Styela clava: one gene and its partner. The protein of the gene in region 1 purifies or fractionates together with the protein of each later gene. This does not show direct contact. Links are inferred from orthologs where the notes say so. Each region holds a gene or a part of one and is shown on either strand. Other genes may lie near its edges. The genes, in order: protein transport protein Sec31A-like and N-terminal kinase-like protein.

Region 1 (3,936 bases):
GTTAAAAGTATCGATCCTTTACCAGGATGATTTTTTGTTGCGCAAAATAATCCAATCCATGACTAGTACCAGCATTTAAAATGTCATGCCGTATTAATTTAATTTTGTTCAACGTAACTCATGGTTGTATCGACAATCTGTAGACATAAATTGTGTGGCAAACTCGCGATTAATATTAATTTTTGATTCCTATTTTCGTATCTACAAAATACAACGGCGATCTGTGGACTTACAATGTGTGGTAAACTACCCGATTATAAATAGTTTTTGATTCCTATTTTCATATTTATAAAATAATAACAGTATTATTACTCAAACAATCAAACATACAACGGCGATCTGCGGACTTAAAATGTGTGGTAAAGTTCCCGAATATAATTAATTTTTGATTCGTATTTTTGTACTCACGAAAAAATTGTCACGAGTGGAAAAATAACTCATACTTTATCCCGCTTTTTGGCAAATAATTTGGACAATGGTTGGTATTTAAAAGTATGGGCGTTTTACTAGGATGATTTTGTGTTGCGCAAATATTCAAATCCATCATCGATACCACTATTGCCGTATTAATTTAATTCTGTTAACATGATTCATGGTATATATATATATATAAAATATATACTGCAATAATCTGCAAATATGAAATGCCTGGTAATATATATAGCTAGGTTGTAACTTGTAGATAGTAGTTATTCCATTGCTTATTGTATGGAAATTCCTACATACATTTAGATAAGCTTCAATTAGTGGATTTTATTTTCGAAGTATTCGAAATTTCATATTCGAAAAAATTAATTTCGAATGTATTCGAAATAGTGAACTATTCGGTATTGGCCATCCCTGACCATAAGGCATAAGCTAAAGAAAATTCAAAATCGAATTACACAATATCAGGTTTTAAAACTATTTGATTGAAAGGGCCGCCCGGAAGGCCAAAAGACCTTCCGGAAGGCCTTTTGTCGAATTATCATTAAAAAGGTTTAGCGAACTTATGCCTTTTGAGTTTATTTGAAAAATTCTTCTTTTACCCCCATCAAAAGTCTGAAATCCCAGACTCCAATGGAATCGAATTTTTTACTCACAACTTCATAGCCCTGATGAAATATATTGTTTAATACCAAAATAACTGGCAAGGCTCACAGAAGTTACCTTATTACCAAGAAAACAACATTAGAAACTTTTCGCCTAAAATAGTACTGTTCTGTTAAGTAGATTATTTATTATAAGGAGCAGCAATTGAAAAAAATGAACCTGAAATGGATTGAAGTCCAAAGCTTTGACTGGTCCTGTATGCTTGTTGTTGGTATTTACCAATGCAGCCTCACTATCAGTATTATCTATCAATTTGGTTGGATCATAAATATTGATAAGTCCGTTATCAGCACCACAAACGATGAGACCTTTGCTCTCGCCAGTTGATGATTCATACCCAGTGTTTCCCCATATCACTTTATAGAATCTTAAAACAGTAATGAGAATATCAGTCAGAGACCGAAGACTTATCGATCGAAAGTTAGGGGTTCCCCCAAAACAGCGCTCTTACTCCATAGTGACACCGTGTGTCCCATCCCTAATTAATTAATAACTCGCTAATTATATGACATAATTCATCGAAAATCAATAGGCTTCTGATCCGAGCTATGATGAATGCACATGCAAAATTTGGAGCAGATTCCACCTCGCTTTCGTAAGATATCGCGAACATCTAACAGACAAACAAACAAACAGACAAATACCTATCAACATACTCACCGATCTTAAGATCGATAAGTAATAATAAAATTGTAATATTGTACATCAGGTAAAACCGATTGCAACAAATTAGCGTAATTGTCAACATTCTGGACCAACGATTACCCAATAAGAAGCATACTTAACAAGAAACACATCTAATGCAAAAAATAACGTTAGTTATAAAGTTAGAATCCCATAGGCAATATTGAAATAAAACTAACGGTAAGTTAAATTATAACTGTTAAATGATGTGAAGACAAATGTAAAATATAAACGAACCTGGTGGGGATGTCAACTTGTCCAGCAAGCTTTAATTCCTTAGAAGAATCTGCCAAATCTACTGAATACAGAGACAAATTCGCAGACGTACTGAATGTTGCATCAAGCTGTTGAGCAGCAGTGGCAGTTGCGAGCTGTATTGGGTGCAATTCTGCTGGACTCCATGCATAATTTGCTGTTACATTTACTTGCTTCACTTTCACCATTTTCGATATTTTCTATCCCGAAGCAAAATCTATACAGACAGGGTATTTATGCTGTGTTGTGTGGATAGGCCACAGTTGATTTTAATAGGATATTGTAATCCTGCAACTAACAAGTATACCATTATAAAAATTGGACATTAAATATATTTTAGTACTACACTGAGTTGGTCAATAAAAGCTCTATATCAGTACAAATTGACAAGCCTGCACTGCGTAATAAACTAAAAGAAATTGCAATTAAAAAACGTCACTATTGGATTCTTTGAAAAAAATGATCCAATTTATTAAAGAAAAAAAAGTCACCGCAGCATTTAAGTTATTAGCAAAAAAACGCAATTTTGATTACATGACAGATTGACAGCGATTGACTTGAATGATTACTGAGACAATCATGGTGCAATCTGATGCATACATCCTTGTTTCAGAGACAAATAGAGTGTGTTTCATTGAATAAAATGTCGAAACATCTTGGAATCAGGGAACTGTGTCCTACTGTCTATACAACTTAATTAACGTAGTTGAATAGCTCTCACAGATGATGCCCTTTTTTTCAAATCGTATCAAAAGTAACCCTTCATGTAATTAAACACATTTATCTGCTATGGGGAGTCAAAATTCGCCACAAAGTGAAGATAAAACTTCGAAAAATTAATAATCATATATACGCAATTGAGACCACTTTGCAGTAAGAAATAATAGACTAAATAATTATGTTCTCATCTCAATAGCAGACAACAAATGTTATTTACATTCCACTGGCTCCCAATGTTAAAATTGCAACAAGGCAGATGATAGACAGAGAGAGACCTCTTTATCAATGGATAGATATTTAAAATTTAACTTTTTCGTGATTCATTTTACTATTTTAATACTATACTATATGTAAATTTGACATAAATTATAGTGTTGTCTAAAAATTGGCACATACATCTTTCAACAATTACCATATTGGATTGTGAGTATGAATTCTTCCAATGAAGCAAATATCAAATATACGTAGTTAATATAGTCCCCAATAGTTAAAATGTTGAAAATTGTGATACATAAATATTATATCATGACTCCATAGTGACACCGCGTATCCCATCACTAATTAATTAATAACTCGCTAATTATACGACATAATTCATCTAAAATCAATAGGCTTCTGGTCCGAGATATGATGAATGCACAAATTTGGAGCAGATTCAACCTCGCCTTCGTGAGATATCGAGTGCATCTAACAGACAAATACCTATCAACATACTTACCGATCTGAAGATCGATAAGTAATAAAGAACTCAGTTAATCAACTTAATTGATCACAAAATGCTGATAGATTCAGATACTTTATTCCAGTCGTGCATGAAATATTGTACCAACATAAGTAATAAAAAAAATGATAACAATAATATCAATTGAAACAAGGATACAATATTTCCGCAATTGACGCGGGCGTGAAAGAATACCAAAATCATTGTGTCCATGACATCGCGTTTAATTAGCAAAGATGAAAGAAGACACCGGTGTTAGATGGACCTTTCACAGTTTAATATCAGTACAAAGTCGATAATTTTTAAACATAATACTGTAATATGAATTTATAGTCATGCCATTTTTCCATTATAAAATTAGTTTTGTCTTATATCCATTAGGCCTATATCTGCACCGCCCCGGTACCGGTATATCAGCATATCTATAAACATTTACGGATCTTCTCAACTTTTGAGATGGCTAC
Region 2 (3,936 bases), on another chromosome or scaffold:
CGGCGCACCCTTCTGGATCCGCTGTCATAACCAATAGTTCCAAACATTTCAGTAATAGATATGAAAGCAAGACACTAACCTTCCCAACAACTTTGAGTGAAGAAGTTCTGGGTAATGGTCCATTAAAAACTTCCCATATTAAACAGCCTAAACCCCACATGTCAGAAGACCTGTAAGATTAAAAGTTAAAAATTACAGAATGAATCATTTTTTATTAAATGTTGAAGTGCACAATATCTCTTGCTAATTAGTACTTGAACTACAGATTTCTAACTTTCAAACAAATAAGCAAGTCAGGACTTTAATTAGACTTGTTTTATGTAAATGATTTATATCCACGAGTAAAACTCGTGATAAATTATATGTCAAACACAAATAATGGTAAATTCAACCCAAAAAGGTTACAATCTTATAAGCAAATTGTTTGCAACATTTTTTATGATAGGTATTCCAAATCCATAATGTAGGATTTATTATAATTGAGTTATTGAAAGCCTAATAATATATTTTGAAATTACTTCGAACAAGAATATTATTTTGAGACTTACGAAAACTTAAAAAAACACACACATTTATTGCATGATCAAAGACTATGGCCTGATGTTACAATCCAAATTTTAAGATTCCAGTTCATTGAACTGCGAAACTTACCACTTAGATGATTTTTTGTTACGATTTCTTGCAGATTTTTCAGGGGGATCATATTTTTCTAGCATAGGTAAGGTTTTGAAAGGCGGAAGATTGCTGCCTTCGCCTGAGGCTGGATACATGTAGTCTACTCCACCTGAAATTCATATAACAATGACATAGAAGTAATTCATTCACTGCTTTAAACGTATCTGAGTATGAATATATGAACAGAAAACACAAGTATAATTGCATGAGAGTGAGACAATACTTATTATTACACAAACTATAATATTCCTATTCCACAAAAATAAAAGTTTTTAAAAACTTCATCTGACATGATAAGTTTCGGCTGCCAGTAGGGAAAAGTATTGCACGTCATCTTAAATTGATTATTCAGAAATAAAAAGTTTATTTAAAATAAATCATGACTAAAAATTTTGAAAAAATCCTAATTGAAAATAACCTTCACACTAACAATCCATTCCTCACCTAACTTCCACTCTCCACTTTGATCAACAAATATGGAAGACATGCAGACATTGTTGTGTATAAGATTTACAGTGTTTACCAGAAAACTGAGACCTTTCTGTAGAACAATTTGGAAAACAGTTAATTAATCAATCATAATTATTTAACTATTTCTTTTCGGTATTTCATACAGGATACATAATTAAAAGTGACTAAGAGTCAGTACGAGGTTACCCAAAAACATAACCCAGATCATTGGGAAGATATTTTTAGAAAAAAGAATACTTTTGTGCAAAGTGTCCCAGATCACTGAAACAAACAGAAGTTCAAGTGTTGAAGTTTAAATTAAATTTTTTTATTTTTATTGAAGAAATTAAAAAATATATCGGGTTCTGTTTTTTTTTCAGGGTCAACCTGTACTATACTCTCTCGAAAGGAGTTTTAGTGGTCATGAAATATGGTCCTCTTGAAAAATGCTGTAATAAACGATTCATTTTTTTGTAACAAACTTCATTATTTTCCAAAAAATTGATTACTACAGTAGTCATACAGACATGCATCTGTGTTTTCTTCCCAATTCATAATCAAACCATCATAAACAAATACCGTACTTACAGAAATCTGGTGAAGACCCCAAGATATTGCAAGATCACGAGTGGCATTTTTAGTTTCCATTGTCTTCAAATGTTGTAACAAAGGTACCACAGGTTCGGTAACAATATAAATGCATTTTGGGGCTTCAAGGCTGAAAAGAATAAAAAATATATAAATAAATTTCATTTCATGGTTGAAAGCCAACGAACCTTGAAAGAACATTTCTATATTGTACAAAAATCGGATAAAGAAAATAAGAGTAATACCTGTCGATAAATGTAAGAACATTAGGATGTCGAAGAGTCTTCAATCGTTTTATTGATGATGAAGCAACCTGTCTCACTGCATCATTGCTTTCTGCTACATCAAAAGCAAATATAGAAACAGATTCTCCGTTTGCCTGAAACAAAATATCAACAAAACAGATCTTTAAAATTCAAAATCTTTTTTTAACATTGAATGTTAAGAACTCATCATTAAACTACCGGTACATGAAGAAAATCTTTTTGACTTTCAAACATTTATAAACTTTTAAATGAAATATTTCGTGAATATGGCTTCAAACTCTGATTGGAAAATCAGCTCAAAAAGCAGCTTTTTTTGGAATTGTTGATGAGAATTTTTTCAAAATTTTAACTTCTCCCCTTTGTTTTAAAACCCTCGATTTGGAAGTACTAATCTCAATGTAGCAAAACATAATAGAAAACAAGTATAACTAATGAAAAAGGGAAATTTTCAAGCATTATACTATTTTTATGCACAAGAAAATTAGCAAAACAATAGCTATACCTTACGAGTTCCCTTATGCAATGTCCATATACTTTGATCATCAAGTCCAGAGATTTTTTCCCCAACTTCAAATGCGAAGTCTTTAGTGGGATCTCTCGAAAATATCGACCACATATTTCAAAATTTAATAACAATCAACTTTGCATCAAAATAGTTACTAGAAGACTAATTGCAAGCAAATTAAGCCGCTCTAAAAACTGAAAAAAATGAATAAATAAAGGGCTATAGGGTAATAACTGAATAAAGTTAAAAAAAAAAAAGCTTTAGATAAATTTTATAGTAAACGAACAAAAAATAAATAAGTAAAAAAGAAATTAGAATAAAAATAAGAATTGTAATTAGAGATAAGAATTGTTTGCCACACCATTTTTATAATTTCATAAAAATTCCCAAATTGAGTACGGTACCGTAAAAGCGCCTAACTTCGGACAGTTCCTAACTTCGGACAAAATTTTTGAACGGCCATATCTTGGCTAAAACGCGCCGTATATTGCTAATTTTAATTATTATAGGTTGCGCTGTTATATCTACATCTATTCTCATCTTTTTTAATGTTGCATAATTATTTTTTTGGTAAAAAAACGGAAATTTTGCCGAAAATTGACTGCCCGGCATTCAACGGTGCAGAGCGTCGCTCCTACTGAAGCCATCATCGTTAAAATACCATCATTCGGTAGAGGGCGACAACAATGTATATAATTTATTTGAGTGATCGCAAGATGTCGTACGAGATTTAAATTAAATCTAAAATTCTGAATTATAAATTCCGTAAGAATATTAAGATTTCACGCAGCGTCAAAAATTACGTCAACCTCACGTAGATTATTTTTCGCTCACTTCGACACGACGTCACACTGCGTCGCGGAAATGAATTTTGACGCCAGACACAACGGAGCCAATATGACAATTTCCGTTAAGATAAAGACGGCGTTTCAATCTAATATTTTTGTATTTTGTTCGGTCATGTATGAATATATGCCAAAATTACATTAATGAAAATACATATCACACTTAATCGATGACGTTAAATATCGAATATATAATGAACTATGATAATTCCAACGTCCATATGGCACAGTGCACTGACTTAACCATTATTTTATGATTAGTAGTCGAAATGACAGTTATTGAATACGGCCTGGGTGAATTTTATTCACTCGAAATTAAAAATAAATTTAATCTCCAACAAATAAACGGGACCTACATGTTTACAAGATTAAGTTGAATTTTAAATTAAACTTTACAATCGGATTTACCGTGTGTTTGATATAAATTATCATTTATAAAGATAACCGCGCAGAATAAAAAAAAGCTATCCGTCGAGAATATTAATACTTCAAAGACTTCGATAGAAGCCCGTTAAAATACTTCATTGTGGTTTGAAACGGTTTGCATCAGATATATTTACGTATGCATTTCCTGATTAAAATGACTAACGTGTTATTATACTCATCT

The links.
Region 2: the proteins of protein transport protein Sec31A-like (region 1) and N-terminal kinase-like protein purify together in Homo sapiens (affinity purification with mass spectrometry; 3 studies listed by BioGRID and IntAct, counting the BioPlex papers as one, with this or other methods). This does not show direct contact. The link is inferred for Styela clava from reciprocal best matches to the Homo sapiens genes SEC31A and SCYL1.

The regions. Positions count from the first base shown.
Region 1 is NC_135260.1:9,046,685-9,050,620, forward strand, and holds the start of protein transport protein Sec31A-like, read right to left. Parts: upstream 2,357-3,936; 5' UTR 2,220-2,356; coding exon 2,014-2,219; intron 1,460-2,013; coding exon 1,252-1,459; intron 1-1,251. UniProt on the Homo sapiens protein: Component of the coat protein complex II (COPII) which promotes the formation of transport vesicles from the endoplasmic reticulum (ER).
Region 2 is NC_135252.1:12,120,056-12,123,991, forward strand, and holds the start of N-terminal kinase-like protein, read right to left. Parts: upstream 2,684-3,936; 5' UTR 2,596-2,683; coding exon 2,482-2,595; intron 2,093-2,481; coding exon 1,959-2,092; intron 1,844-1,958; coding exon 1,714-1,843; intron 1,217-1,713; coding exon 1,120-1,216; intron 785-1,119; coding exon 652-784; intron 171-651; coding exon 80-170; intron 1-79. UniProt on the Homo sapiens protein: Regulates COPI-mediated retrograde protein traffic at the interface between the Golgi apparatus and the endoplasmic reticulum. Involved in the maintenance of the Golgi apparatus morphology.